4 linked regions of the Notamacropus eugenii genome follow. The protein of the gene in region 3 purifies or fractionates together with the protein of the main gene of each other region. This does not show direct contact. Links are inferred from orthologs where the notes say so. Each region holds a gene or a part of one and is shown on either strand. Other genes may lie near its edges. The genes, in order: HDAC3, TFDP2, RB1 and E2F4.

Region 1 (7,868 bases), on a different chromosome or scaffold from region 3:
CAGATCTAAAGGACAAACATCCAAATCATAGCCCTCCCCATACCTAAGGCACAGGGAACATGAGGATGGGGCAAAAGCTCAGTGGTTGTGGATACCATAGCAGTGGATGAATGGGGGTGGACAAGGATATGCTTACCTTGTTGTTCAATTGTGTAGCTCCCTGCAGGGAAGCACCTGTGTAACGGGAACAGAACTCAAAGAGGCCTGGGAACACAGGACTGTAAGACAGAGGTCATGGCTGGATCACTCAGAGCCTTGGCTCCTTTCTCAAGAAACTGAACACCCTCTCAGGCAATACACCTAATCCAATTTAGGCCCTCTTTCTTTTACCTTCCATCCTATTCATTCGTCTTTTTATTAAAAAAAAAAAAGTATGTGTGTATATATGTATATATATGTATATACACACACAGAGAATGTTATTTATTTATTGCACACCTAATATTTGCCCAACACTATTCTAGGCACTGTGGGGAAAGACACACATAAAGAAAAATGAAGAACAATTTAAGAGATATCATAACATAGCATATAATTAGTGTCAAGTCAATAGTACAGCCAAAAATGCTATAGGAAATAAGAGGAAGGAGAAATAATGAGGCTGCAGCCACCAGAAGGCTTCATGCAGGATTTGGAACTTGAGCTAAACAACTGGTAGAATTTAAATAGGTAGAAGGACATGGGCAAAGCAGAATATGCATGGCATATTGAGGAAAAAAGAAAATCAGTTGGCAGTTCGTGTAGGGGAGGAGCAAAAGACAAAGTTGGAGAGTCAGTTTAAAAGAAAGACCAGGAATAACCCTCAAGGCCAAGCTAAAAAGTTTGGGAGTTTGTACTACTTACCCTATATGGCAGGTCTCCCCAACTTGAATATAAATTCCTCAAGTTCAAAACTGTACTTCTGTGTGTCCCCAATTACATTTGACACAGTACCTTATGTCTTTTTCTCCCCATAACTTCCCTCCTTCTTCTCTACAATTAATTCCCCACCCCAATGACCAACACTGATCCACATCAAGGGTCCCTTGACCTTCCCTCACCAATCATCCCCCACATTGAAGGCATTGAGACTCTTAGTAAAGCCCTGCATGTTGGTGGGGCTGACCCGCTGCAGGAAGTCAATATAATCCTCTGAGTGGAAGCGGCACATATCATGCTGAGAGGCTTGGTATGGCTTGAAGACCTTGGAATAAAGAAAACATGTTGAACTTTGGCAGGATTAGTTCCAAATTAGGAGGCTTTGACTGCTTCAGTCCAACCTCAGAGGTTCCAACGTACTCCCACCCAAGTACCCACACACACACACACACATACAGACACACTCCCTCTTACATGGAGGTCTCCCCATGGAAAAAAAAGATCAATCTGAGGCTAAAGCAAAGATGCTGAATTCAGTCATTGACTATTTTGCTATATTTATCCCCACCCACATTCTCATGTTTCCCATGTCACCCTTTCCTCGGTCCCCCACTCCTTCCTGTCCTTCTCCATAGTCCTGCTGTCCGATCACCTCTGGATTCAAATGTGACATTGTACATGAAAATATTTTGAAAAGCATCAATCAATATACAAATATAGTACATTATTATTGTATTCTCTTTGTTATGATTCCCCAAATTAATTGGAAGCTTTCTGAAATTGGAGATTATGTCTTTTCCAATAGTTAGAACACTCTCTAAAGGTAAATGCTTTCTCTTTTATATCAAAATACAGAGCTCTACAAATACTGGAAAAACAAATTCAGTATATATATATCAAAAGACTCCACAGGGTAGCCAATCTATTTTAGTAACCCTATTCTAAGCAAACCCATCTATGGATTTTATATTTAACAGTAATCCTAAAAGTGACCATCAACGGCATGCATATGCATACCATTCTGAGTCGGAACAGTCTCAGTTCTCATCTTCCATGACCTAACCATGTCAAAGAAATATGCCTTGGCCAGTAGCCACAGAGACAAGGTTCTGTGTGTGCTGTGGTAGATTTTGGGGTGTATCTTTTTTGGAGGGGGGGAACAGAGAGGTGCCAAGTATATGAGTAGCCAACCCAAGCCCCTTAACTCTCAACTTGGAGGGAGTCCTCCTAAGGCCATACAAACCAAAACAGAAAGACGGAAGGGCTGAGTTAACTCTTGTACAGGTGCATACTCAAAGTATCCTCTCATTCTGTTGGGATACTAAAGTTCTGGCATCTTCCTATGATAATAAAAGGATACTGTGGGACAGCATGAGAGGTGAGGTGATATTGTAAAAAAATATATATATATATGTTGGATTTGGAGTCAGAAGATCTTGGTTCAAATCACAGGCTTTCTACATAGGTTACCTGTTTAACTTCCCCTTTCTTGGCCTCAGTTTCCCATCTATAAAATGAAGGGCGTTTCACTAGAGAGATCTCTAACATCCCTTCCAATCATTATTAACAACCTTTCTAACCCCTATTAACCTATCTATGTATGACTCAGGGGATGAAGGGGTCTCCCTGTCCCCATTTCCTCTAAGCCTGCACCCCAAGTGCAAGTGCACACTCCCCTCCCGCACTGCACCCCCTCTCCAATCGTGGGGTGGTGGAGAGGATGGAGGAGAAACACTCACAATCATCTTCTTGTAGAGTCCATAGTGCAGCACCAGGCTGTGGGTGAGGGCCAGACGATGAGGTTTCATGGGGTGACCGGCCCCTGGAGAAAGGGGTGGTAAAGAAGGGTCTCCGAGTCACCACCCCAAAGGGCCCAACCAGGATCCTCCCTCCCCAGGGTCCTAGGGAACTCGCTCCACCCCACCCCCACCTCCCAATCCTCCACTTGGTCCGGGTTGTGGGGGGTGGGGGGACAGAGGTGAGGGAGCCTGCTCGCGCCCGTGCCCCCTACTCCCCCGCCCTCTTCCTCCCCCATTCCCCACCTCGCTGCCCGGGGTTCTCCTCCCCATTCTCACCATAGTGGAAGTTCCCCACATCCGGGTCATAGAAATAGGCCACCGTCTTGGCCATAGTACCAGGGGGACCAGGCCCCGCGCCTCCGCCCTCCAGCCCCGCCTCCAGGCCCGTGCGTTCTGCGTCATCGCGCGACGCCACGCCCCTTGCGGAATCCGAGGTCGCTGGGGTCTCCAAGGCTCAAGGGAGGGGGAAATCAAGGCCCCGCCCCGGCCCAGAGGTGCCACGCCCCCTGACTCCGGTAGCTCCGCCCCCTCAAGGCTGGCTGCTTCTGCTGGCTGGGGTGACTGAACACCGCGGGGAGGGTGGGGCCGAGCCCCAGAGGGAGGGTGTTCCCGGGGTATCCGCGGAACTTGAAGTGCACAATCGGTCCCCGAGAAGCTGAGCATCTCAGAGTTCCCCATTTTCCAAGCCTTTAATTCCACAGAGGTTTATTAATCGTTCAGTCCGTGGGCATCCCATCCCCCCTCCTATTCACCCTGAGAAGTAGGGGGTTCACATCCCGCCGCCGCGTTTCTACCTGGGCACTGGGGATGAGAGGCTGTCCTAGGGTGCAGGGAGCTGTCTGTATCCTGCCCGAAGGGCAACTGACACCTTCCCACCTGCCGGGCTCCCAGATTCCCGGGTTGTACCCAAGAACCAGAACAAGGGGGCATATCACCCAGCGGTGGCCAAGGTGCCTGAGAGACCCACGCCCCGAGTGGGACACACTGACACGGAGACCTAGCCGTGTCAGACACTGTGGTGTCACGCACGCACTCCGTCCCACACACCTGCCGCTCCGCCCCCTTTATTCCCGTGCCCGCGCAGGGAGCACAGCCGGAGAGAGAGCAGCCGGGACTAGGAGGTGGCTGCGGTAGAGGCCCCCCCATCCCCTTCCCATCCCCAACCCTGAAAGTCCAGAGGACGCCTGCACCCAATTCGATTTCCGCTTTCCCTCCTTCCCTATCCTCCGCCTTCCTGTACCCCTACTCCCCTACCCCCAGCCCGCCGCGGCACCAGCAGCCGCAGCCCGGAGCCGGAGCTGGAGCGGGTGAGGTGGCCTGGGGGGTGGGGAGAAGGGGGGAGGAGGATGCTCTCGGGAAGGGCTCCCAGGGCAAGCTGAGAGGTACTAGGACGCTGCCGGAGCCAAAGCCGAACATACATACCGCATCCCCAGGGGCCGTGCAGAGACCACAAGGTCAGCTGGGCCAGGGGAATTGAGGGGGGGGGGGGTGCATTCTGGAGAGGGAGGGGAGTCCAGAATGTCTCTAGGAGCCAGGAGTTGGAGAGCGGTGGGACAAACTGAGGGGTATTGAAGGAAAGGAGCGTTTCAGGGGACCTGACCTGGGGTTGTGGAGGAAGTGAGGGGCCAGCGCTGACTCAGACTATGCCCAGGACCGCATCATAGAGCTCCGTCCAGTCTTCAGTGACAGTGTCCTTGGGAGGAATGGGGATGGGGAGAAAGTAGGGTTTGTTTATGCAGGGAGAAGGAAGGCACGTAATATCAAAGGGAAGAGGGATGAAGGTTGGATTAGGAGTATGGAAAACAACTTGCAACCCCTATTGACCAGGTGCCCCGGGGCCTGGCTGACTAGCACCCAATCCCTGGACAGCTCCTGGGCTGAGAAGGCAAGGGGTTCTGGATTTACTGGAGGGTCCTGGGGGGACTCCCGGTAGGGGTCCAAGCATGGAATTCACCGCCCTCCCCCTGACTCCATCCCTCTTTGAGGCCCTGACCCCGGCTCGGCCCGCCCCCCAGGGCCGCATGTCGGAATTGCAACCAGGACCAGAGCCCCAGCATGGGCTGTACATGCTGTTCCTTCTTGTGTTGGTCTTCTTTCTCATGGGCCTCGTGGGGTTCATGATCTGCCATGTACTCAAGAAGAAGGGTTATCGCTGTCGGACATCGAGAGGCTCAGAGCCCGAGGATGCCCAGCTCCAGCCACGTAAGTGTGGGAAAAGAGGGGGAGCCCCATCACCAGGGACCAGCCGCCTTCATTTTCTTCCTTGTACGTCCTTCCATCACACACTTGTATGTGCCACACACACCTGCACCTTTCACTAACACTCCTGAGTGCACCTTATCCAGGTCTCTTCTTCCTCTCTCCTACCCCTGGTGGGAAGATGACTCCTCCAGAGCGACTTCCATCCCCCTTTGCTCCCCTGTTATCCATAACTCACAGTTCATGTTTCATTAACCTGTCAGGGAGTTTTTGCAGCTTAGTTTGGGGGATAGAGTGCAGTGAGTTCAGTAACTAAAAGGCAAAAATCACAGTGACTGAGGTCTCGTGAAGTATTTTGGGGACCTGCTGGTTCATTACTCCTGAAATTATACAGTAGGCTGAAACAGAACCCCTGGGAAAGTGAAAAGGAGGCAGGAGGAAGAGAACGGCCTCCTTGTGAAACTTTGGCAATCTCCTACCACCTCAGTTCTCTGTGACTCGATATTACCATCTATAAAATGAAGGGATTGTACTCTATGACCTCTAACGTCCTTTATGGCTTTGGAGTTGTAATCCTATGGTGGTCACTGATCTTGAACCACTAGAACTGCCAGGAAGCCAAATAAGGTGGTCATGAAACTCAAAGGAACAATCCAAAGGCCAGTGACTTTGCGTTGGCCCCAGTCTCTCTTTCCCTGAAGTTGACCCCTTTCCTCCCCTCCACAGCGGATGATGAGGATGTGAATGAGGACACAGTGGAAAGGATTGTCCAATGCATCATCCAAAATGAAGGCAAGTGCTCACTGGCATCTGCTGTTCAGTCCCCTGCTCCATTCCTACATCCATGACATTCTCTTGCCACTTGTCTTTTACAGCCAATGCTGAGGCCTTGAAAGAGATGCTTGGGGACAGTGAAGGTGAGGCAACAGTACAGCTGTCCAGGTGAGCTGGAAGTGTGGAGAATTCCCCCAAATACTGATCAGGACAGCACTTTCTCCTTAACAACTAGCCCCTGTTAAAGTCACAACTTAATTAGTTGGACACTATGATTTGAGGAGCACCAGGCTATCCAAGTATCACTGTCTCAATTCCATCATTCATTCTTTAGGCTAGTTATTGACTTCACAATGTAGCCTCATTGGATTTAAATAGCCTTGAGTCACAAAATGTTGTCACTAGTTCCTTGGTGTGAATCAGAGTTTGGAGAAAGAATAGGGCAGATAGAAAGATGGGGGGTGGGGGGGGGAGTGTCGAATGGATGCACAGAGGGCACAGTGGAAAGGATTTTCCTTTATTCTTTCAGTCTTGATGGTGCTCCAAGCCTCCAGGATGGGACTCCATCTCATCACCATACAGTTCACCTGGGCTCATCAGCCCCTTGTATCCACTGCAGCCGAAACAAGAGGCCACCTCTCGTCCGACAGGGCCGATCCAAAGAGGGCAAGGGCCGTACTAGGCCAGGAGAGACCACAGTATTCTCTGTGGGCAGGTGTGGATAGAGCACCCAAAGAAGAGGGGGGCAGCATTCAGGGCCTCCCATTCAGGTGGTAAATCTTTCTAAGACAGTTGGCCTGACCGGAAGATTTATCCAGGCTTCCTTACTTAGTATTACTCCCCTCCTATTCTGGAGGGTAGGGGAAGAGGAGGGTTTCCAGCCAGGGAGTACTCTTGGGGTTGATTCATCTATGTGCTGAGGATTCCTTTGCTTTCAGAAGCTATCAAATGTCAGTAAATGGGAGTGCTGGGGGCAGTGTTGGGAGAAAGGGTTCAGAGAACCTCTAGCAATCCTGAGTCACAGCATATTCCCTTCCCTTCCAGGTTCCGGGTGACACATATTGAGAAGAGACTTGGGCTTCATGAACATCGAGATGGCTCACCCATCGATAGAAGTTGGGGCTTCAGTGGTGGGCAGGACCCAGGGGGTGGCCAGAGTTCTGGGAAAGGGCAGATTGGGACTGGAACTCCTGCCACAGAGAGACTTCCAGCATCAGGGCCAGAGGTTGGCATCCTATCTAGTTCCCCTGTACAGAATGGGGGCCTCAGAGAAAGGAGCCTTGTCCCCTTTCTGACTGAGAAGCCCTCTGGAGCCATGGAAGACTCAGAGGCAGCAGCCAGAGAGAGGGACACAAGGCCAGTGTTGACCAGAAGGGAAACTAATGGACAGCCAGCCAAACTGGATGCCTCAGATCTCCAGGTAGGCAACAATCAGATGTGTGTATAGAGAAGTCAGGGTGGGCAGAGTCACTGGATAAAGCCACAGTCCCTGCTTAGTAGGTCCAGTTTTCTGACTAGATGAAGTTAGAGAGTTTATGGTAGCCCTTTCCTTCTTTATCTCAGGTGTTACCGCCAGGTGGCTCAAGATGAGTGTGAGGTGAGTCTGGCCCTCCCAAAATGTGTTTGTTTCCAGGGAAGGGCGGGCACCCCAAGGTAAAAAACAAAAAACTTCAGCCTATGAAGCTGATTTTAAGGAGGGAGGGGCTAAGGGCACCACTGCTCCAAGGGGCATTGAGAAGGGAAGGGCAACATGAGGTAGAGTGGAGGGGGAGGGGTGGAGAAAGGCTAGAGGAGGCAGGAAGACTATCCCCTTCCCTCTCCTTTTCCCCAAGCTTTATCTTCACTCCCTACTGCAAGGATGAGTAGCTGACTGGGCAGGGAAGAGGGACAAGCATGAAGCCCTCTCCTCACTCTGAGACAGCATTGCCCTCCAGGAAAACAAAACAACCCCTCTTCCTGGGGGCTATATTATCTCAGTCTGGGAATGAAGAGAGTGGTCCCCAGCCTCTCAATCCCTTCCCTCCACTTCATCTCCAGCCTAAGACAGGTCAAAGGTGAGGAGAAGTTACCCCTACATTCACCCCAGGCTCACTCCTCCTTCATCAACTTGCTCCCCTGCTTGAGTGTGGAATTTGGGAGCAGGCCCCATGCTCAAGATGGGCACCTGAAGCAATACTCCCCAATAGGCCTCCCTCTCAGCACACAAAAGCTCAAGCACTGGCTTGGGTTCCTTGCCCC
Region 2 (7,475 bases), on a different chromosome or scaffold from region 3:
GAACTTGTCACTTTTCAAAAATGTCAAACATATTCTAAGATCTTAGTATTTAAAATGACACTTAAAGGATTTAAAGTAATACCCCAAGTATTTAAGATGATACCCGCATCAGAAATTTGCTTGGAACCCACACTTCCAAAACTTAATATTAATTCTTACTGCTTTTGCTGCTGACAAAATTGAACTGATATGATCAGCTAGTGTTCTACAAAACCAATACCAACCAAGGACATGTATCTTTATGAGGGAAAAAAATTTCAAATGCAAGTTATAAAACTCGTATTAATGAAAGAACCTTTTGAATTTTCAAGGGTACCAAATGTAAATGCTTTTTTCTAATCTAAATTACATCACTATCATCAGTCCTATTTATTATAGTTTTGGTAATAAGAAACCACTTTCCATTTATTAAGGCAGCAGAGATTTTTATCTGTGTATCTCACTTCTTGATTGTTTTTAAGTTCATATTTGAGGGCTTTAAGAATTCTGGCTGCAAAGGAAAAATCTACAGGCGTCCAGAAAGCCCTATTAAAAAATAGATACAAATTAAATGGCTACAATAACATAATACTACCTGCATGATACTGACTAAGCAATTATAACCTATTTGGGCCAACTTCCTCATCTGTAAAATGAGGGGCTCGATCTAGATAATTTCCTTCTAACAAATTTGTTTGCTCCTAACATCAATAGAGAAAATTGAAGAAGAATTTACTGAGTCTGTGAGACTTACGGGATTTGTTTTAAAATAGAAACAGTAGTCCTAAATCAGAGAAAAGGTTGCTACCTAAGTAAAGACATTAAGACCAAAATCTGGTTCCAGGCATAAGATCATGTAATACATAGCAAAAACTTAATTGTTTTGGCTGCAAAAGAATCTACAAAGCCTAAAGTTTCTTAGGCAAATGTCAAAACACTTTAGAAATGTCCACTATTTCATAATTATGAAATACAAGATACACATCCACAAAAATGTGTACTATACATGTCTCTTTTAAGATAACAGTTGTCTTAAAAACAGCACACCAACTTCGAAGAGAATCTAGGACAAATAACAGAAACAATCTGCATTTTGCTTTCCAACATAAGGTTTTGCTTTGCTATTTGGGAACATCACTGATTCTGATCTTATAGTATTTTAACACTGATAAATAACACTAAGTTCCTTTTCCATGGGAGTGGGAAGGTAAACTAGATGATCTCAAAGGTCCCTTCAAGTTATAAATTCTACAATTAATTCTACTATTTTCTTTAGCTGACACAGGATTTAGATACAACACATAACAGTAGAAAGTACACTGGATTTGGAATCAAAGACTCTAGATTCAAATCCCAGCTTTGTCATTTTCTCCCTATGTGACCTTGGGCAATTCACTGGTCCTAAGTTTTCTTATCTGTATAACGAGGGAGCTGGAATGGATGACCTCTAAGGTTCTTTCCACCTTTAAAATTATGACATGATCTATTATTTCCAGATTAGAGGCAGCCTGGTAAGAAGAAAAGAATACAAGGTTTGAAATCAGAAGAGTGAAGATCCTAGCAGCAATTTAAGCCATGCGACCTTGAGCAAGCAGGTTGTTTCATCTTTCAAGGCAACAGTTTCCTCATCTGTAAAAGGGAATGGATCTGAAGATCATCCTTCTTCTCTAAACCTCTATCAGACTCTAACTGAGAGACCAGCAAAAATGATAAATGGTACAGGAAATGATTTGAAAAGAGATCAGATTATGACTATAAGACTAAAGTTTATAGAAGGAGAAAAAACCCCAGAAACTAAGCTATTAACTTTTTCAGGGAGAGGAAGAACACAGGATTGAAGTACTTGGAAGGTTCAGTGATATTTTGGGAGACCTCAAAGACCCTGAAAAAAGGAAAGGGAATTCAAGTTTACATATTGATAACATCTGATTCATTTTCCATGGGAAAGGGGGTAGACAAGATACATAACCTTTGAGGTCCCTCCCAGCTCTGAATTCTCTGATAAAGCTCCGTGGAAAAGATGGTCCAATCTATAGATCTCTAAAACAGTTACCACTGGGGAATTACAGTTGTTGAGAAAAAGGTGAACGCAGGAATTAAATTTAAAAGCATAGGAAAGGATAGGGGGGAACAAAGCGAAAGCTTCAGTTTGGATAAATGCCTCCGACTGGTGGTCAGCACGAGAAATGGGACGCTCCACGATTCTCGGGTGGGGAAGTGCCTCTGGAGGAGCTACAAGATCTTGAGCTGGGGTCCTTCACCCCAGAAGGCATCGAAAAGCCAGCAAAGTCGCTCTCCTGCCGGGGGTGCCCCCCACAAATGGGAGGGTGTCCCGGTCCAGCTCTCGGCCCCCGCGTAAGCACCAACACGTAGGTTCCTGCGTCCCGCTCCGGGGACGGAAGGGACAGCGCGCGTGGAAATAAAAGAGGGGAAGCCTCTCGAGAGGGGCACGTGGGGGGTTCCCCAGTCATGAGGGAGGGGTGAGAGCCAGGGGCTCACTTCCTCGGACCCCGCCCCACCCACCCACGGCAACCCCACAGCGCTGCCGCGACCACGCGAGGACCGAGCGCTGGGGGGAAGGGGGACGTTACCTGCCGGCGTAGCCGTGGAGAAGGCGGCCTGAGGGGCTCGCGTCCGGCCCACGACGCGAAGGGGGCGAGGGAGCTACCCCGAGCCGCTGCCGCAGCAGCTCCTCGGCTGGACTGGGGCCGCCGGCGGTCTGCGGACTCATTCCCGGGGGTCCGGGGGCGAAGGCGCCGGGGCTCGAGAGCCCGCGAGACCGGCCGGCCGTGCGCACGCAGCCTCCAGCAGCCTCGTGCCCGCCCGCGCGCGCGTGCGCCCCGCCACCCGTGCGCGGCCCTGCTCCCCCTCCCACCCCGGGCTCTCGTCGCCCCCCTTCGCCGAGCGTCGGGAACAGCTGCCGCGCCCCAAGCCCGGCTCAGGCCCACCTGCTCCTCTCACCTCGCGGGCGGTCGGCCCCGGGGCCCGGATCAACTCTCCTCTCTCTTCCCCCGCGCGAGCTTTGGCGGGGGCTGGGTACTGCGCGCTCCGGTTGGACACCGGGCCGCGTGACGTCAGGCGCTGCTGCCCGCCGATTGGTCTGGCTGGCGATGCGTGCGGGGTGTAAACAAACCCCGCCCCCTGGCTTCCCAATGAGGGCGGGGAAAGGTGGGGTGGGCAGGGGGGCGGGGCCGAACGTCCCGCCCGAGCCCAAGCCACGAGGTGACAGCGGGAGGGGGAGGAGCCCGTGGCAGGGGTGGGGAGGGGTGGGGAAGGAGGGAAAAAGCGCTCTGGGGGTGGGGCTTGCATCAAACCCCGCCCATGGGGAGTGGCCGAAAGGAGCGTGGCCTGTGGCTAGCCCGGCCTCCAGATTTTCTGCAGGAAATTCCAGCCCCTTCCAAGGAAAGGGCCGGAGGCGCAACAGATGGCTCCGGGCCTGGAGTCGGAAAGACTAGTTCAAATCCCGCACATGTAACCCTTGAGTGCTTGCAAAGTGCCTTACAAATAACATCTCCTGTGATCCTCGCAGCCATCCAGGGAAGGATGCTCTTATTATGAATTATTATTCCTATTGACAGATGGAGAAACTGAGGCAGGCTTGGACATCCTGAGGCCGGGGTCTATCCTCTGCTGAAACCCCCAGCGGCCAGAAAGCACGTGTTGAAAGTCTGCTTACGTGCTAAGTGCTGGGGATGCACAGAAAGGTGGAAACCATGGTCCTGCCCTCAGTGAGCTCACTTTCTGATGGCAGGGTGAGTCCGCAAGGAATTATACATCCAAGACCTAGTTCTTCCTTCCCACCAAACTTCCCTATCTGAGCAGGTAAAACTTTCATTCCCAAAGAGGACCATGACATCAGGAAGATGTTGCCATGACTTGTAAGTGAATTGGATTTAAGAGATAGATCAGAATAGGCTAGAGATGGCCCAGCATACAATAGGAGACCTCCACCTTTCTTAACTTCTCTCAAATCATACCAATCCATTCACACCCCTGGGAGCCTGGAATGAGGCACCTACATAAAACCAATCCAAATAAGGAACCCCAGAGACAGGATTCAATTGTTGTTGAAAGGAAGTAAGTAAATCAGACTGGGTGAAGCAGTGATGAATGGACTTTGGATTTTTCCTCATACCAAGAAAGGGCATGAGGACAACATCAGGAGTAACTGAATCAGATTTTTAAGACCTCAGAAGCCAGGCAGACCAAGTTCCCACCGATGAATTCCCTCTATATAACAGTCCCCATGGGAGGTCCTTTAGTCCCCAGGAATGGATAACTCAGACACTGCAAGAGACTGGCCATTCCATTTTCATCAGCTCTAAGCATAACAAACGTGTTCCTTCTGTTGAGCTGAAATCAACCTCTCTGTAAATTCCTAGGTCTACCCTCCAGGGCAAGTTAATTCCTGGTTCTCAACCTTTCAGATGTTAGAAAACTGATCACATCTATCATATTTTCTTTTCTTCAGATTAAACACCACCTTCAAACAAACCTTCAGTCTGTTCTTTGTTTTTGTTTTAGTAAGATTTGCTTTTGAGTTTTTTGAGTTTGCCTCACTATCCTGGTTACCCTCTCGACTCTAGTTTATCAATATGTCTCTTAAAACATAGGTCTCAGAGCTAAGCATTCTTTCAGAAGAGAAATAAACAGGTAAAGTCAAGGGAGTTGAAAGCTAAATAATGGCAAATTAATGTCACCTTGAATAATTTTTAAATACACAAATCCTAAAGCAATCATTGCTTCATTAACAAAAACTAGAACATTTATAAGCCAATTCAATACAAGTATTTTTAATGTCCCTATGTGAAAGACACTATGCAAAATGATGGAGATGCAGAATATATACCCCTGGACCTCCACCCCACCTCCAGGACACACACTCTACTGAGAGAGTACTGTTGTTTCCTCTACTGGGAGAATACAACATGTACACAAGTAATTCAAGGAGGAAGAGACCCCTAATCACTGGATGAGGATAGGCTCACTTCACAGAGAAGATGGCAAGAAAATAAGGCTTCTGAGGGGTATGGATAAGGAGTGAACTGCAAATATGAGTGGCGGCTTGTGTGGATACATGAAGGCAGATGATAGAATGTTGCATCTGAAGAGCAGCTAATAGGCTAGTTCAGCTGGATCCTATATTACATAAAACAAGAAGGAGAATAATGTGAAATGAGGCTGTAGGACTGGAACCAAATTGTTGAGAACCTCAAATGCCAGGCAGAGGAGTTTGCATTCTGTACCAAAGGTCATAGGGAGCTACTGAAAGGTTTTGAGCAAAGGAATGACATGGCCATACTGGTACCTTTGGAAGATTATTTTGGAATCCTTGTGGAGAGTGGATTGAAGATGGGAGACTGGAAGTACAGAAACTAATTAGGAGGCTAACAATTTAACAATTGTGTAGGTGAAGTATGACAAAAGTTTGAACAAGACTATTGATACTTTGGAGAAAAAAAGAATAGAAGAGATATGGAAGTCAGATCCACAGGATTTGATGAGGATTTAGAAATGAGGGCTGATAACTGAGATTATAACCCAGATAATTGGGAGTCCAATGGTGTCTTCAAATGAAAAGGGGAAATGAGTGTGGGAGAAGAGAAGGCAGGCTTAGAGAAGATAATGATTACTGTTTAAGATTGTGCCTCAATTTCATTCAAAATCTGCTAAAGCCAATATTCTTTTGAGCAAAATAACTTGTAAAAAAAACTAACTTAAATATCTTTCATATAACTTACTCAGACACAATGTAAAATAAAAGGAACAGTGGAATGTAACAAAATTTCCATCTACTGTGTATCAGTGATGTGATCTGCCTATGAATTTCCATGACCTAAGCAGAGTAAACCATAAAAACCTGTAGTTGCTAGTTCCACAGAAAGTCAGTTCCTTCCAGGATAAAGGACAACTTACTAATGTAGTTTTTAAAAAAAAGACCCTGAAAACCTTTCAGGAAAAAGTAACTTGTGGAAGTTTTTCTGGGGGGAGGGGAAAGGAAAATTAATATAACATTTAAAAATTCCTAAATAGGTACCTAGTGCCAATTTTGGTCCAGTGATGGTAAAATTAGCTTCACAATTAATGAAAAAGGATTTTTTCCCTTTTGCCTTAATAGCCATTGCTCTCTTTTCCTCCTCATTGCTTTAATCAGTAATTATATAATGGGACAAGAAAAGAGAGATTTTTTTATGTCATTATCATCACTCAGATTTACACAGTACAATATGGCTTACTTATTACATTCTTCACAACCTGTTGAGGCAAGTGGTACAAATATTTTCATTTGCAGATGAGGAATGAGGCTGAGAGGAAATGATTTACTCAAATTCACATGGCCACTAATAAAAATTTATGCTTTCTCAGACCAAAATCCGTACTTTGTCCATTCCACCATGATTCTAGAGATGAGAACTTCAGTGTTTATTTTATATTATCCATGCCTAACCAAATCTACTTAAAATTAATCAGATAGGTATCAATAATGTTATTGTTGTTATTCAGTCATTTTCAGTTGTATCCAACTCTCTGTGACCCCATTTGGAGTTTTTCTTGGCAAAGATACTGGAGTGGTTTGCCATTTCCTTCCCCAGCTCATTTCACAAATGAAGAAACTAAGACAAATAGGGTGAAGTGACTTGCCCAGGGTCACATAGCCACATGTCTGAGGCCAGATTTGAACTCAGGAAGATGAATCAGCCTGACTCCAGGCCTGATGCTCTATGAATCATGGTACCATCTAGCTACATCAATAATGCCTACACTTCATAAAGTGTACTACCTATAAAGTATAAAATATACTTTAATAATATATGCTTAATAAAGTATACATGTATACTAATATATTCTACTAGTCAGCTCATATGTGTCCTGGCCCAGGGCTTTTTTATGAGAACAAAAATGTTTCTTCACTTCCTTTTTGTTTTCTAAGTCCCAGACCCACATTACCAACTAATTACTGGACATTTCAAACAGTGTATTCCATGGACATCTCAAACTTAACATATTGCAAGCAGAATTCTGCTGGGATTCCCCTCCACAGTTCACTAACTCTCACCATCATTGATGGATGACTAAATCAGCACTATCTACATGAAATGTTTCCTGATCCCCACAGGTGCTCAGGCACTCCCTCACAAAACTACCTTATACTTCAAGTATTCAGTGTGTTATGTATATGCTTAGAAACCACCATGTTATGTATTTATTTAGAAACAGCCATGTCATCTCTCTCATTAGAATTCAAGTGCTTTCAGAGTAGGAAAAGTTCAAGTGTGCCTTTCTATTCCCAGCTCTTAGCACAGTGCCTGGTGCACAATATATATTGCCCTACATGTAGGTCCTTTTCCCTTTTATTTTTTAACTCTTTTTGGATACAGACCCAGTTGTGGCACTGCTAAGTCAAAAGGTATGCATGGTTTTATAGCCCTTTGGGCATAGTTCCAAATTGCTCTCCAGAATGGTTGAATCCACTCACAACTCCACCAAGGGTGCAT
Region 3 (8,211 bases):
TCAGAGATACAGGTGCTATTATGATCTCCATTTTAGGAAACAAAGACTCAAAAAAGTTAAGTGACTTGCTCAGGGTCATATAGCTCATAAGCAACTGAGACTAGATAAGAATACAGGGCTTTCTAATCCAAAATACAATACAATATCCGCTGTGAGAATAATAATATTAAAACTTAAAGGGGAGGATCTGAACTAGAACTAAGATTTCCTGACTCCTAAGCCAGTGCTCATTCCAGTATAACATGTTATATGCACACTGGCTGAGCTGTGATCTATAAACTCCTATCATGTAGGATAAATTTCTAGTATACAGCCTAGCTTGTGATTTCTTTTGTGTGTAGAAACTTAGTTCACTGATACAGATCAGCAACTTATCTGCAACCTAAGTCTAAGGGAGTGGTTTGGGGGCATGGGAAGGCTTAGCATTTTCCCAGGAGTAATCCTTGTGGTTGTGTGTGGTTGTGGTGTTTGTCCTTCATTTTCAAAGAGTATCATGACATCAGGGAGATGACAACATGACTTGCAGCTGACTTTGATTTGAGGGAGGGCTGTGCAGTCACCAGCCTCACTTTCTCCTCGAGAACTATCTGCGTCCAATGGCCAGATATAAATCAGGATGACTGGAGATGGCCCAGGATGCAGTGGGAGACCTTAGCCTTTTTAAACTTTAGTAGGTGTCAGAAGTGGGACTTGAACAAGGAACAAAAAGCCAGTTTGACTAGATGTGTAGTGTGTGTGTGTGTGTGTGTGTGTGTGTGTGTGTGTGTGTGTGTGTAATGTTAATGAGAGTTAGATCTTCCCCCACCCATGAATGGGCATTACCTCACCCAAGGTGAGTACCTAAATAGACTTTGGCCTAAAGGGGCCAAGGTCTCCAGTGCACTCTGGGTCATCTCCAGTCATCCTGATGAATATCTGGTCACTGGATTCAGATGACTCTGGAGGAGAAGTGAGGCTGGTGACCTGCACAGCCCTCCCTCACTCAAAAAACAAAGTGAAGTGCAAGTCATGTCATCATTTCTCTGATGGCATGGTCTTCTTCGGCAAGGAAGGGCGAACACACAACTATGTATGTCTTGCTTATGGTCAGACAGTTACAAGCCCTGTCTGTTGGTCTTTATTTCTCTGCTTGTATTTGCTCTGTTGGTGAACACAATTAAAGTAGATTGTTGACCCCTCAAAAGTCACTTTCCTTTTAATAAAGCAGATCTAAAAATCTGTACTATCAGGCCATCCTGGATGTGTCAGGGTGCTTGCTGCTAGTGTGTGTGTGTGGTAATGGGAGTAATATATAATAAGTTAAGAAAGGTTGGTTGTAGACATATTGTAAAACATCTCTAAATACCATTATCCATTATCCTTTATTTACTATTCAGTACCAGGCCACACTATGATTAAATTTCAGGTCTGGATCTTCTCCTCTCCTCAGGAAGTCTAGCAACTTTCATTCTGTCTAAGAATGAATTGCTCAAGGAATTAAAATTCTATAGATGATAAAGCATCTATATAGGACAGAGGATCTTGGCAAATAGTAGAAAAAAGCTGTTGACTTCCTTAAGAGAGGAGTTTTACCCTCATCAAACGGCCTTCAGAATAAAGACAACATTCGTAATCCTTCAAAAATGACCAGTAAAGTGTTCCTTAGATTTAAGGTGGTATTTCTGACAAAGCTGGGTACTCAGAACATGGCTCCTACATCCTCTCAGGACTCTAAGGGTAGCCTTGAGGCACTGGAGGGTTCTTTTCCCAGGTGCTACAGCTTACAAGCCCCAGCTAGCTTGTTTCCCTGCCATGGTTGTTAGATGATCAAAATATGTAACCCTCAGGGACTCTGCTGATATCCTAACAAGACCTGCTTAGTGTTGCCGATGAGAAGTCATGAGTAAAATGAAAAAGAGAACTTGCCTTGAAAGTCCTAGGTTATAGTCTCAGTTCTGATGCCACTTCTATTATCATATGGGAATTTTAACCTCTGCATCATTTAACCTGTGATCTTATTTCCTTATTTCTATAATAAGGAAAATACTTAGACTGTGTATCTCACAGGATAGATGTGAAACAATTGCTTTATAAACCTTAACACTATAGCTACAGGATTATCTCAATTTATGCATGTTGCACATACTCTCGAGCTAATATCCCAATTCACACTCACACTGACAAGGTTGGGTGCTCAGAACATGACTACTGCATTTAAAGCTCTAAAAGGGGTTGGGGAGGGAAGGGTTGGTTTTCATAATGCTGTAGCTAACAAGCCTCTACTGGAGTGTTTCCCAGCCATTATTGTCCATTGATATGAATTAATCAGCCAGACTTAATTAGCTTTTAGAATGGGGTATTTTACATAGTACCTTCAAATATCTATGACATACTCTTCCACAATTATAAAGAGAGGGGGAAGTGGGTTAAAGCTTAGAGTACCTGTGATGGAATAACTCACTGCTCCTGGAAATCCTTCCACTAGAGTCTGCATGATGATACCCTTAGGTATCAGATATCTTTTTCTGCTGGGACTTTTGATGAGCCATGAGACCACATCCAATCTGTCTTGGGCTTGAGATACAGAAATTGCCATCACCTGATCCAGGAATGGTGCTAGAATGCCAATGGGAAGTCCTTTGGATCTCTGGAGTTCTTAAGATTCTCCTCCAGCCAAGAAGGAATGAGGAGAGAAGACCAAGATTAACACCCAGGCTCAGGGTTCTGTTCCTCTCCTCTTTTCCTTTCATTCCTACTTTTTCCATTTATGATACCAAGAGTTATTTGTTGGTGACAATCTCAATAAGATTAAGTAGAACTTTTTCCTTTTATTCAGTGGTCAAATGGGACATATTAAGGGGCAGGAGGTAGGGAGAGTAGAAGGGAAAGGCAAGATGAAGCAGGTTAATAAAAGAAAAAGTCTGACAGTTCATGCGTCAGTTCCTGGAGGGTAGAAGGCAGAAAGACGAAGAGCAGTGGCATGATTAGATAACCCCCATGAACTCACTGAATTTTCAAGTGGGAAGAGATCTCAAAAATTCATCTGGCCCTACCCAAGCAGTAAACAGTGGTTAAATGACTTGTCAAAGGTCACAGTTAGAATTCTGGTTCCACTCTCAATCCACTGCTCTTTTCACTACACCACACTGCCTCTCCTAAACCATTCCATGGTTCCCTGCTTATTCCAGGAAAAAGTCCAAAGTCTTCAACTTTGGGACTTTGGCATTTATGGACTATTTCTGCCAGGTCTTGCCCTATTCCCTTAAATCACACAGGTACTCCCACTTCAAGCATTTGTCCATGGTATTCTAAGGCTCCTTCCAGATCTAAATCTGTGCTTCCCACAAAGGATTCCTCTTCCCCTTTCTTCTCTAACTAACCATATATCCTACCTCTTAGGACCATCTAAAATCCTACTTCTTTCATAAGGAAACCCCTGGTGACAGTTCCCTTCTTTGACCTCTTACAATAGTTAGTACATGTTCTAATTCATTCAGGTACTTAAGCACATTATAAGGAAATGAAATTATTAAGTTGTTTAATGTTATCGAATCATAGATTTAGAGCAGGAAGAGACAGACATCAACTGATCCAACTCTCTCATTTTACCAAGAAAGAAAGAGAGAGGAAAGGAGGGAGGAAGGAAAGAAGGAAAAAAGAAAAGAAAAAAGGAAGTTTTCATCCAGACAAGTTATGGGGCTTGCTCTAGATCAACAGGTGGGTTACGTAGCAAAGTCAGGATTTGTACAAACTACCAATCTTGAAAGCTCCACGTCTGAAAATACTATCTCCTGGACTCCCTTGGCATGCTTTTAAGTACTGCACACATTCAGCTAAAATAAAGTGAGTGTTGCATGCTGAAAGATCATGGCTGGGAGGGACATAAGAAAGCCATTCAGCTCCAAACCCTTCATTTTACAGATAAGGAAACTGAGCTGAGAGACATTCATTGATCTGCCTAAGACCTCAGGAGCAGTAAGCATCAGAAGTGGTTATCTGAACTCAAGACCTCTGAGTTCAGAGCCTGTGATCTTTCTACTGAACCACTCTACTATCAAATCAAGTCCTAATAATGATAGTTAACATCTGTATACACTTACTATGTACTGGGAGGTGTGCTAAGCACTTCACAATTAATAAGGATGATAGTAATAGCTAACATATATATGCGTGTGTCTCTCTCTCTACATAGACACATATACACACGTATAGATAGATAGATAGTGTTTACCATATGCCAGACAGGAGGCAATTAGGTGGCTCGATGGATTGAGCAGAGGGCCTGGAGTCAGAAAGAAGTGAGTTCAAATTTGTCCTCATACACCTAAGAATTGTGTGACCCCGGGCAAGTCCCGTAACCTGTTTTTGTTTTTTATTTTCAGTTTTCTCCTCTATAAAATGAGCTGGAAGAAGGAATGGCAAAGCACTCCAGTGTTTTTGCCAAGAAGACCCCCAATGGGGCCACGGACAGTTAGCTGCCCACGACTCAACAACAACGATATATCCGGCACTGGGGTAAGGGTAAACGATAACCCTGACATAGCGCTCGCTGAGTGCCAGGCCCTGGGGAAGAGCTGAGCAATGATCCCCTGGGATGCTCACGGCCACCTTGGGAGGCAGCTCGTGGATTATCCCTGTTTGACAGTACAGGGGCGATGACTCGCCCAGGGTCACACTCCCTACGTCTGAGGCTGGAGGGGCTCCTTTACGCATGCGGGCTCCTGCGTCCACAGCACGGGGCAGTCAAGGAGCCGCGTGCTCGGGAGCACGACGGCGCTGCAGGTAACCAGAGGGCAGGCCCAAGCCGGGCCTGCTCAGGGGAAGAGGCCGGCGCTGGTTGCCGGGGCTCCGGGCCTCTCCGTCCCGATAGGTACCCCACCCCCAGCACGGGGCCGGGCCCCACGACACGCTCGTGGCCTCGCCGCGGCCGGCACCCGCAGCCCCACCCTTCTCTCGCCGCGGACCTTCTCCCTTCTGCCTCCCAGGCTCGGCGGGCGGGCCCGGGAACTCGGTGGGACTTAGCGCGCAGGAGCGGAAGTGACGTTTTCCCGCGGTTGAGCGCGGAGCTTTTGGTGCCGGGCTAGGGTTAGAGAGGTGGGTGGAGACAGGGCTCTCCCGGTTGTTTGGTTGTTTTCGGAGAACGTTTAAAGTTTTCTAACGGGAGCCGAGAGAGGACGAAGGGCGTCTGGGGCGGCGCGTTCACTTGGGAAGAGCGCGTGCGCGCGTGTTCCCCTTTGCCCCTCACCTCCCAACCCCCCAGTCGCTCCTGCCAGTCAGTCGGTCGGTCAGTCAGTCAGTCATGCCACCCAAAGCCCCTCGGAAACCGGCTGTTCTGACCCCGGAGCCGCCACCGCCGCCGCCTTCCCCTCCCCCTCGCCAGGAGGAGCCGGAGCCGGATAGCGGCCCAGAGGACCTGCCGCTCGTCAGGTGAGAGAGCCGGGGCCGGAGCCTCTCCGGGGAGCGGGGCACCCGGCAGACGCCGCGGCGTGACCAGGGAGGGGCCGGCTGCCCGTCGAGGCGGCCTGCGGGCCCGAGCCCGGAGCGGGGCACGAGCCCCCGGCGGCCCCTGGGCCGGCTGACAGCTGCGAACGCGGGGCGCCGGGCCGCGGGGACGGGGCTTCCCGGCCGCAGCCTTGGCCCCAGGTTGACAGGTGGGTGGGGCGGGCCGGGGTCCCGGGGAGAAGGAGTGACAGGTGGCTTCTTTCTCTCTCGGGTGGTGGAGGGTGGGGGTGGTGACTGTGCTTAGTCGGGGAGAGAGCATTGTTTCCTCTCCAGAGATGCCCACGGATCCTGTTCTGTTCTGTTCCGTGCGGTGGAGTTCGGAGATTGTTGGGGTCCGAGCGCACCCTGATGAGATACATTAAGAAACCCCACGACATCCCCCTCCCCCACCCCGCCCCCTCCACTCCTAAATGGTGTGTTGAATGCGGGTGCGCATATCATACTTTGTCACTTCCTGTGTAATAAAGCTAATAAAAAGTATTGTTTTTACCATCTTGCCAGAGCTTAGTGTCGGGGTGGTGGTGGTGGGGGACAGTTACTGTGGGAACTGCTGAGAATGAGGGTCCACCCTTCTGTAGTGTTACCAGACTAATGAGAAGTCTAGTGAGATCTGAGCCCCGGAGTATGGCGATGCTGTAAGGTGTGGAGGTGGGAAATGAGAAGTTATTTGTAGTGATTTTGTAAGAAAATTACTCATTAGTAGCATTTTTTTTCTTGGTCCATGTTTTAAACCCTTGTGAAACACTTTCAGTGATGTAATTTACAGCACAAGCGCTTAAAACGTAAAACTGACAAGGGTTGTTCTATGAATTTCGTCTTTATTTTTATTTTTTCCCCAAATTTAGATGAAACTCCTTGCATGTAGATCTGCATCAGCGTGTCAAAGTTGATTGATTTTAAATTTTTGGTGGGTAGAGACATTGATGTCTGATATCGAGTATTGTTTTGTAAGATGTTCAGCCATGACCAATCACATGGAATTGTTTACTTAATGAAATCTTTATATGAGCAACCCTAGTGGATACAGTAGAATATTACAGAGTGGTATGTCATGTGTATGTTACAACTTGTTGGTTGTTTTTCTTTTTTGTAGCCATTCTTTATGTTTGATATTGAAAAACATATATTTAGTATGTTTACTCTCCAGTCAGTCAGCCAGCCAGTAAACATTCATTAAGACCAAGCATGCTATGTGTTGGGAATACCAACAAAGCAAAAGGCAATCCCTGACCTTAAGGACCTCACCATCCAATTGGGGAGACTGCATGCAAACAACTAAGGTACAACAAGACCTATACAGGACAGATTGGAGATCCTGGACAGAAGGAAGGCGCTAGCATTAAGGGGAATTGGAAAATGCTTTTTTGCATGAGGTGGGATTTTAGTTGGGATTTGAAGGAAGCCAAGATTTGTTTCTACTTTGTGGTTATGGATCTATTGAAGGGCAATGAATGCTAATATATACAATTTAAAAAAAAGTCAACTTGATGTTATTGTAAGGTCTTACCATGAAACTGGGCATATAGACAGAGTGGACAGAGAGTGCTGGGCCTGAAGTCAGACTCATCTTCCTGAGTTCAAATCTGGCCTCAGACATTTATTAGCTGTGTTACCCTGGGCAAGTCACTTAACCTTGTTTGCCTCAGTTTCCTTATCTGTAAAATCAGTTGAAGAAGGAAATGGCAAACCACTCCACAGTTTTTGCCAAGAGCAACACAAATGGGGCAACTAAACAACAACAGATATATTATTTGGTTTGTGTTTTTAATAGGCTCATAGAAGACATTTTGAGTGCTTTAAATGTACAATTAAAATATATAAGTAGAAAGAATACAAGAGGTCAGATTTCAGATGGTGATGTAGTAGAAAATGTCGTTCTTTATTCAGCTAGTCAAGTTCTGGTGGTTTTCCTAACATTAGCAATTCCTATTTGTCATGACAGACAATATACAGAACAAAGGTATTATAGAAACTGCTGAGAAAACTGGAAGGCAGTTAGTGAAAAAATTGAATTTTTGACAAACAACTTGTATCATGTATCAAAATGAAGTCAAGATGAACATGTGACCTGAATATAAAAGATCAGGTCATAATAAAAATGAATAAAGTGAGATCACTTATTTTTCAGAAGGAGAATACTTAACCAACAAGGTATTGAGGAAATTAGAGAAATTAAAATAGATGATTTCAGTTACATGAAATTGAAAAGCTTTTGCAGAAAACAAAAAAATCAGTGTAACTAAAACAAGATGGGAAATTTGTCTTTTGGGAAAAAAATCATTGCATCCGATGTGTCTTAGAATAGTCTTATTTTCAAGATATACACAGGCAGACTCACACACACACACAACAGAATCATTCTACAGTGGATAAGTTGTCAAAGGATATAAATCAAAGATTCTCAAAAGAGGTGCAGATTATTAACAACTATAGAAAATTGCTCTAAATTAATAACAATAAAAGAAATCACACAATATTTTGAGTATTATTTTTGAGGCACTCTGTTAAGTGCTGAAGATACAAAAACAAAAGTGAAACACAAATGTAATTTGAAACAACTATGAACTTTCATGTTACACCCAGAAAATTCTAAGGTGAAAATAGTTGATGTTAGATGGGATTTGGGAAGGCATGCACATAATACACTATTGCTGGAGCTGTGAATTGGTCTGTCCATTGCAGAAAACAATTTGTAATTATGCTAAGAAAGTGACTAAAAGGACCATACCT
Region 4 (7,877 bases), on a different chromosome or scaffold from region 3:
AGAAGCCATCAGAAAGAGCCTCAGGTCAGGAAGGTAGGCTGTCAAATTAGACCAATGGCACAGGGAATGCAACACACTCCAAGGGAATGACAGGAAAGGGACTGGTTCTGGGACCAGCACTTGAGAGCTAGTGCCAGCCATGACTGAGGGATTCCTAACGCATGATGTGGTAGAAAGCACATGGTCCTGGAGTCAGGAGCCCTCGTTTTTAATCCCAGCTAAAACTTTTAAGTCAATTCTCTGCTCTGGAGCTCAGTTTCTTAATGAGTAAAATAGAGATAATGCTTTTTTACTACCTTCCTCACCGAATTGTAGGAAAAATATTTTACATCTGTATTTATACCCCAGAAAACAGGATCCATTAGTATTAGCATTATTACTATAGTTTACGTTCTTTTTTTAAAAACTATTCTGCTGCCTTCTATCTTTCTTCACCAACACCCCAAACCCTTCAGGGTGCGGCCTGACTGTATCTCTCCACGACTAGAACCAGCTCTTGCCTTGCCTTGCCCAGCCTAGATGGTTGTCTTCCTAATCTGTGGGCCTAGCAGCTCTGACACCATTGATCTAGCTGGGAATCACACTTTGGACACTTACAGTTTACTGCTTTGACCAAAGGGGCTCAACTCTTGAGCTTCAGAATTTTCCCCTTTGTTAAATGTAGATGATTCTTATACTACCAACCACACAGGACTGTTTTAAGAAAAGTGCTCTGTAAACCCTGAAGAGCAGCCATTAAATCTGAGCCAGGATAATGAATGTGGGGAAGAGGAGACAGAAGGAAAAGAGGAAGAGGGAGGTCCTGGAAGGATATCAGTTGTTCTGCACATCTTCAGTGACATTCCGGATGCTCTGCTGCACCCACACCTTGTGCTGGTCCAGCTCCTGCTCCCGCTGTTGAAGCTCCTCAATTTCAGCCTTCAATTCGATGAGCTTGTCTGCTATTTCCCTTGTGTTACAGCCAGGTCCCACACCCCTATGTACAGTCCCCAAGTGGGGAGAGGGGAGTGAGATGGTACCTACCTCCCCAGGGTACCTGCCCCTAGCGTAGACATCCATCCAGGGTCCAACACTCCATGAAGGAACCCTCTTCCTCCCACCTGTCTCACTCAATGAGGCTCCTCAGTCTCTCATGAGAATCTCTCCTGCCCTGCCTTCCCCAGTACTCACTTCCACTGGATACTGTTCTTAGACTTCTTTTCAATCAGCCCAATTCCTTCCAGGACATTCGTGATGTCATAAATTCTCCGCTTCTGCCGAACAGCCAAGGTATCTGCTGCCTATTGGAGGAAGAAAAGAGAGATGCTTCAATTTGTCCCCACGGTTTAAGCCAACACCAACTCCAACAGACTTCAGCAGGGCAGGCTCAGTGCAGCCCAGAGCCACACATGACATCTTAGGAAGTTAACTTTGGTCTCCAAACTCCTCCTTACTTCTGATGTCTCTCTGTACCTGTGGTTTGCCCTACTCTCTCCTATGGGCCTGAAACACCTTCCCCTGCCAGGCATGGTACAGTTCTCTTGCCCCGTGCTCCAAAATCCAGGTTTGTTCCAGCTTGCTTCTCTTCTAGAGACCCAGCAAAAGAAGGGCATCTCCGCAGATGGTCTCGCCCAGACCTCCCTCCTTCACCTGCCTTTTGCACTTTGCAGGGGTTCCTCCTCTCTCCATGCTGGTCATTGCTCCCCCCCCCCCCCCAGTCTTCAGTTCTCCCTTGTCTTGTTCAGATCTCCTCCATTCATGCTCTGATCTGACTCCCTCATCTCTTCCTCCAGCTGTTCCTAGGCTGTTGGTCCAATTTCCACCTTTCAGGATTCCCCCAAGACCCTCGTCTCTTGGACCTCCCTCCTCTCTTAGCAAGGATTTATGAAGCCCTGTACTAAGAAAAAGCAAAAAACAGTCCCTGCCCTCAAAGGACACGCAAATCACTACATAGGAACAAGCTACGAACTTGACAAACTGGAGACGATGAGCGGAGGGAAGGCATTAAGGTGGATCGGGAAAAGCTTTTTGTGCAAGGTGGGATTTTGGCTGAGACTTGAAAGATGAGAGGTGGCGACGAGGAGAACTTGCTTCCAATGACTCTGGGAGCCGCTCACCTGGGTACCCGCTGTGCATCCCCGGCCCTCGCTTCTCCCCCCTGGTGCATCCCCGGCCCTCGCTTCTCCCCCGTGTCCGGCCCCGGCCCTCGCTTCTCCCCCTTGTGCAGCTCCGGCCCTCGCTTCTCCCCCTGGTGCATCCCCGGCCCTCGCTTCTCCCCCGTGTCCGGCCCCGGCCCTCGCTTCTCCCCCTTGTGCAGCTCCGGCCCTCGCTTCTCCCCCTGGTGCATCCCCGGCCCTCGCTTCTCCCCCGTGTCCGGCCCCGGCCCTCGCTTCTCCCCCTTGTGCAGCTCCGGCCCTCGCTTCTCCCCCTGGTGCATCCCCGGCCCTCGCTTCTCCCCCGTGTCCGGCCCCGGCCCTCGCTTCTCCCCCTTGTGCAGCTCCGGCCCTCGCTTCTCCCCCTGGTGCATCCCCGGCCCTCGCTTCTCCCCCGTGTCCGGCCCCGGCCCTCGCTTCTCCCCCTGGTGCATCCCCGGCCCTCGCTTCTCCCCCGTGTCCGGCCCCGGCCCTCGCTTCTCCCCCTGGTGCATCCCCGGCCCTCGCTTCTCCCCCGTGTCCGGCCCCGGCCCTCGCTTCTCCCCCGTGTCCGGCCCCGGCCCTCGCTTCTCCCCTGTGTCCGGCCCCGGCCCTCGCTTCTCCCCCTTGTGCAGCTCCGGCCCTCGCTTCTCCCCCGTGTCCGGCCCCGGCCCTCGCTTCTCCCCAGGGTCCCCCACTTCGGAGCCGGGCCGGGTCCGCACCAGTTTCAGGTCGAGGACTCCGTCCTTGGCCTCCTGCAGCAGCGACACAAACTTGGTCGTGAGCAGCCCCAGGCTCTTCTCGTGCCGGCTCGGGGTCCCGGGAGGCGGCGGCGGGGGCGCCTGCGGCCCGGACTCCGCCATGGCAGCCTGCCTCCCTAAGCCCAGGCCAGGCCGGCGCCCGCCGCCTGCCGCCGCCACTTCCGCTTCCGCTCGCCAGTGCCCGGCCGGCAGCCCCCTCAACACTTCCGCTCTGCACTTCCGTTTGAGCCCAGCTCTAGGCCTGCGCGTGCGCGCGTGCGCCCCTGCCGGTAGGCCTCCTAGCGTCTGGCGCCACCAGGGACCGTGTGCGATTCCCTTTCTCCCGGAGAGTCGCAGAATTCCAGGGGTCGTAGGAAAAAGCCCAGCCCTCACGGAGGGCGAAAACAACCCAGACTCGTCAACTACCAGATCTGGCGAGAAACTCCTGGGCATCGGGTCAGACCGCCTGAGTCACGGGCGGGGTGGGCAGAAGGCAGTTAAATGATGCAGTAGACTGGAGGCAGCAGGGGCTCTGTCAGTCAGTCGAGCAGCACTGATTAAGCACCTACTGTTTCCAGCACCGTGCCACCAAGACCTGAGTTCAAACGCAGCCTCCGTCCCTTACCACCCTTGTAACCCTACACGAGTCGCTTTACCTCGGCCTGCCTCAGTTTCCTAAGGTGTAAAATGGATATTATAACAATAGCATCTGCCTCCCAAGGTTGTTGTGAGAAAATTAAATATGGTTTGTAAAGTGCTTTGCAACTCACCATGTAAGTGCTAGCTGGTGTCATGCTTTTTTCCAGCTCCTAGAAAGTTTCCACTTACCTGTGGCTCCCACAACCACCTCTCTCCTACACCATCCCCCCGGGGCAGCTAGGTGGTGCAGTGGGTAGAGCACCAGTGCAGGAGTCAGGAGGACCTGAGTTCCAATCTCAACTCCAACATTTGACACTCACTGGCTGTGTGACCTTGGGCAAGTCACTTCACCCCCATTGCCTCATCCTGGGTCACCTCCAGTCTTATGGCTGGTAACCTGCACAGCCCTCCCTCACTCAAAACAAAGTCAAGTGCAAGTCATGATGGCATGGTCTTCTTTGGTAACAAAGGACAAACACACACAGCCATCATCTCTGAGGGCCACGGTGGATATCCTTAATGAAATGTTTGTTGACCCCTGCCCTAGTCCCTGGGATCTCTCTGGCTACCCTCCTCTCAGTCCACATTCCAATTCTGCGGTCCCAGACCTCTCACCATATTCACAGGTCCTGCTGCCCAAGTCTGCTTGCTGGGGGCTGGCCATGATGCCATGCTCCCGCCAGTCAAGATTCACACCCTTCCACTTATATGGCACATGTCTTGTATATACATTTAGGAATATGCATTAGAAAGTAAGGTACCTGAGGGCAGGGACCTGATTTTTTTTTTCCCCTTTCTTTGTTTCTCAAGTGATTAGCACCATGCTTGGCACAGAGTTAAGTACTTAATAAATGCTGGTTGACCCACATCCTGCTGGAGAGAAGAATATACTGGCACTCCATATGGAGGTAAAGATCAGCTATCCTCCTTCTATGCTGAGGTAGAAAAGGGTTCTTGGGGCATCTCTGCAGCTGGGTAAAGAGGCACTCCCCTTAGCCCTGGCTGAGGCATCTATACAGTCTGACCCATGCCCATAACAGGCCACTTCTCATGTTCTGTTCCACTAAATTTATCCAAACTTACCTGTCATGATACCCACCACCTGCTGCTGGATGACTCCACCCTGCCTTCTCTGAGATCTCTCCCCAACAGGGGCAGAGGCATAATCATCCCTAAGATCTTTTGCAATGGAAACCACAAGCAGGGAGAGAAAGGATTCACATACCAGAGAGGGATGGAGACAGAAGTGTTATCTGTCCCCTCTCCTCCCTTTCTCTTCTAGTTCCTGGCTATTTCCTATACCCCTGACTCCCACTAAGCCCCAGGAGGAAAACATAAGGAAGTAAAGAAGGTGGAGAATGGAAAGCATAAATCTACTGGGATCCATTGGGAAGGGAAGAGGTGGGTGCCCTAGGGCATAGAGTTGGGGGGGGGGCGGTCAGAAAGCCAGACTTTGATGAACACTGGAGGGCGCTAAGGGGCTAGGATGCTGCCACTTCCCTGGAGGGGGCATAGGCTGTAGGGTGTAGCTGTAGTATACACAAGCAATACCCTCAGCCCTTGCCCTATGATGCGGTTACCCAGGCTAGGGCTGGTACTCAGCGCTCTTCCCACCTCTCTTGTCTATCTAGACATTAGGGATCATACACAGGGCATTTCCCACAAGCTCCAGTGCCCACCCCTTCACCTTCAGTCCCTCCTCCACCCCCATCCCCCCAACACACACTCCTCCCTCCCATATCCTGAGTAGGCTGGGCAGGAACCGTGCTGCCCCAGAGGAGCCTGCCTGGAGAAGAATACGCTTTGGCTTTTAAGCTCAGCTGAGCCAAGCTTCCATAATCAAGCTTGAACCATCTCCCAACCCCCCAACAGCTAGGCTCAATTCCAATATCAGGCCTAGCACCCCACACACCCTTCCTTTACTAAGCCATGGGCATGGATACGGAGGAGGAGCAGGAATTTGGAGCCCCCCAAGGTAATGAGCCGATCCCCCTGGGGGTCACTCTGGGATGAATGAGTGGATGGATGGGTGGAGGAATGGATGGATGACCTCTGAGAGAAGTTCTGAACATCTGGAGACAGCCTTGGTGGGGAAGAGAGTGTGTGTAGTGGGGATGTTTTCCCAGGCATGGGCAATCAGCCACTTACCACCCAATAGAGGTAGCAAAGCAGAGTGGAAAGAGGATGGAGAACCTAGGTTTTTGTAGGCCATGCCATTTACTAGCTGTGTGATCTTAGACAAGCAACTTACATGACCTCTTGGGGCCTCAGTTTCTCATCTGTAAAATGAGGGGTTGAACTTAATGACTTTTCAGCCCTAAATACTGTGATACTTTGATATGGACCACATTGCAGTCCATAACAATATGGCATTTAGTGCATTTATAAAGTACCACTAAACCCGACCCCCACCTCAGCATTTGGGCAAACTTGGAGTGTTAGAAGAGGCAGACTGACCAGGTCAGGGCCCCAGATCCAGTGACTTCCTGTTAGGGACAAGGGATGGGAAACAGCTGTGGCTGAAGCCTCTTCCTGCCTCCCCCCACCCCACCCCTATCCACCTAAGCAGACTCTGAGTGGCCAGAACTAGAGAAGGCTGAAAGGTTGGCCAGAGGGGCAGCCCTGAAATGGGCCTCAGGCGTCTTCTACAGTCCCAAGCAGCTGACCAGGCTGGACCAATACCGAAGCCGAGAAGCCCAGAGAATGTGCTCCATCGAATCCCGAATCAAGGTGGGGCCAGGGAGAAGCTTGAATTTGGGGTCCCTAAAAGTCATCATCCATCCCTAGTCCCAGTCATTCCCATTCTGTCCTAGGCTCTCCCTTCCCTAATTCTGTCAAACGACCGTGCCCCACCCATATCAGATCATGCTCAGAGGGACCTTCTCTGCCCCCTCCATTGCAGGGTGCCATCTACCACTGACCTCTCCAAGCTCTCTCCCCACAGTCAACTGTACAGTCTTACTTGGAGAGTGTGCAGACAGGCCTTCAGCAACTAGGCCTGGCACTGAAAGAGGTCCAGGAGGCTGGGGAGGCCCTGGTTGGGGCCCAGGAGGCACTCTCGAAACAGGCTGAAGTTGCCCACACCCTGGGGCCTCTCCGGGAGCTGGCCAATCAGCATAGACAGCTGCAGGCGGTGACACTCCTACTGCCCCAACTCTTGGCAGGTGAGGTCCCATAATGTTCCTGGGTTTCATCAGGGGTAGGGACGAAGAGGCTCACCTTCGAGCTCACCTGATTCAATGCAGAAAAGAAAATGGAGACCCAGAGAACTTAAGTGATAGTGCAGCTAGGATTCAAACCCAAATCTTCTGACCTCAAATCCAGTGTTCTTTCTACTGGCCCATGTTGCCCTTGAGCACCAACCTTGGTCAGGCCACTTACCCCTTACCCAGTCGGTCAGTTTTCCAGACTGAACCAATGAGGGAGCTTGGGGAAAAGAAGTCTGTACTTTTCTAATGTATGACTGATCCACAAAGTGATCATGTAAATCAGCTACAAAGTCTGAAGAACCCTAAGGTTCTTTGAGGTTTGGTTTTGTTTCCTTGTTTTTTTTATTATTTTAAATTTCATTTTATGTTATTTTCATTTTCACATGGGGGTTTAATAAATGTTTGCAAGACTGAATTTCACCAGTAAGAAAACTGAGGCGCAGAGAAACGAAGTGACGTAAATATCCTGAAGTCACATAGCTAGTTCAGGACAGGTCTGAAGAAGTCCTGATGTCCAGCCCATTTCAGGACTGCTTCCTAACCTCCTGCTTCCTACTTCTCTCCTCAGTACCTGAGGCAGTGGCCAGAACCCAGGCCCTGATCAAAGGCAATCGATTCCTGGAGGCCTATGGGGTCCTACGGCAGCTGGAGCAGTTAAGGGATGAGGTGTTAGACCCACTTGGGAGACCTGAGCTATCCCTCTTTGAAGGTTTGACACCTCTCGGGGAGGAGCTGGGCCTAGCCATGGGGAAGGTGGTGGGTTCAGCTCGGCAGCTGGCACGAGATGATCCAGCCCTGCTAGTAGCTGCAGTTCGAGTGGCTGAGTTTGAGGAGGAAAGGGATATTCAGCTCCAGTCATCATCCCCTGGGCGCCCCCGAGCCTGGCGCCAGTGCTGCCTTGGGGCCCTTCGGAAGGCCCTTGAGGAAGCCTACTTTGAGGGACCAGCCCCTGGCCCTCCAGGTCTGGCAGGACACCTGGCTACTCTTCAAGAAGCTCTGCCTGCTGAACTGGCCCTGGCAGAGGCCCTGGTGGCTCCCTGCTGCCCTGGAGATTACAGAGTGGTGAAGCTGTGGGCCCACACCTTGCACCAGGGCCTCTGCCAGCACCTGCAGCAGCTTCTGGACCATGAGGACCTGGGCACCCAGGACATCTTCACACTGTTGCACTGGGCCCTGCA

The links.
Region 1: the proteins of RB1 (region 3) and HDAC3 purify together in Homo sapiens (affinity purification with western blotting; 3 studies listed by BioGRID). This does not show direct contact. The link is inferred for Notamacropus eugenii from reciprocal best matches to the Homo sapiens genes RB1 and HDAC3.
Region 2: the proteins of RB1 (region 3) and TFDP2 purify together in Homo sapiens (affinity purification with mass spectrometry; 4 studies listed by BioGRID and IntAct, counting the BioPlex papers as one, with this or other methods). This does not show direct contact. The link is inferred for Notamacropus eugenii from reciprocal best matches to the Homo sapiens genes RB1 and TFDP2.
Region 4: the proteins of RB1 (region 3) and E2F4 purify together in Homo sapiens (affinity purification with western blotting; 10 studies listed by BioGRID and IntAct, with this or other methods). This does not show direct contact. The link is inferred for Notamacropus eugenii from reciprocal best matches to the Homo sapiens genes RB1 and E2F4.

The regions. Positions count from the first base shown.
Region 1 is NC_092872.1:369,001,074-369,008,941, forward strand, and holds the start of HDAC3 (histone deacetylase 3), read right to left. Parts: upstream 3,021-7,868; 5' UTR 2,989-3,020; coding exon 2,934-2,988; intron 2,681-2,933; coding exon 2,598-2,680; intron 1,284-2,597; exon of another isoform or gene 1,184-1,283; coding exon 1,041-1,183; intron 219-1,040; coding exon 137-218; intron 6-136; coding exon 1-5. Other genes in the region: RELL2 (RELT-like protein 2), read left to right, coding at 4,601-4,859, 5,583-5,648, 5,732-5,798, 6,160-6,345, 6,675-7,050. UniProt on the Homo sapiens protein: Histone deacetylase that catalyzes the deacetylation of lysine residues on the N-terminal part of the core histones (H2A, H2B, H3 and H4), and some other non-histone substrates.
Region 2 is NC_092877.1:330,407,420-330,414,894, forward strand, and holds the start of TFDP2 (transcription factor Dp-2), read right to left. Parts: upstream 3,103-7,475; 5' UTR 2,941-3,102; exon of another isoform or gene 2,928-2,940; intron 2,822-2,927; exon of another isoform or gene 2,571-2,821; intron 1-2,570. UniProt on the Homo sapiens protein: Can stimulate E2F-dependent transcription.
Region 3 is NC_092876.1:108,201,881-108,210,091, reverse strand, and holds the start of RB1 (retinoblastoma-associated protein), read left to right. Parts: upstream 1-5,026; 5' UTR 5,027-5,278; coding exon 5,279-5,406; intron 5,407-8,211. UniProt on the Homo sapiens protein: Tumor suppressor that is a key regulator of the G1/S transition of the cell cycle. The hypophosphorylated form binds transcription regulators of the E2F family, preventing transcription of E2F-responsive genes.
Region 4 is NC_092872.1:695,050,222-695,058,098, reverse strand, and holds the start of E2F4 (transcription factor E2F4), read right to left. Parts: upstream 3,088-7,877; 5' UTR 2,975-3,087; coding exon 2,834-2,974; intron 1,281-2,833; coding exon 1,171-1,280; intron 977-1,170; coding exon 815-976; intron 1-814. Other genes in the region: EXOC3L1 (exocyst complex component 3-like protein), read left to right, coding at 5,420-5,465, 6,057-6,220, 6,435-6,654, 7,268-7,877. UniProt on the Homo sapiens protein: Transcription activator that binds DNA cooperatively with DP proteins through the E2 recognition site, 5'-TTTC[CG]CGC-3' found in the promoter region of a number of genes whose products are involved in cell cycle regulation or in DNA replication.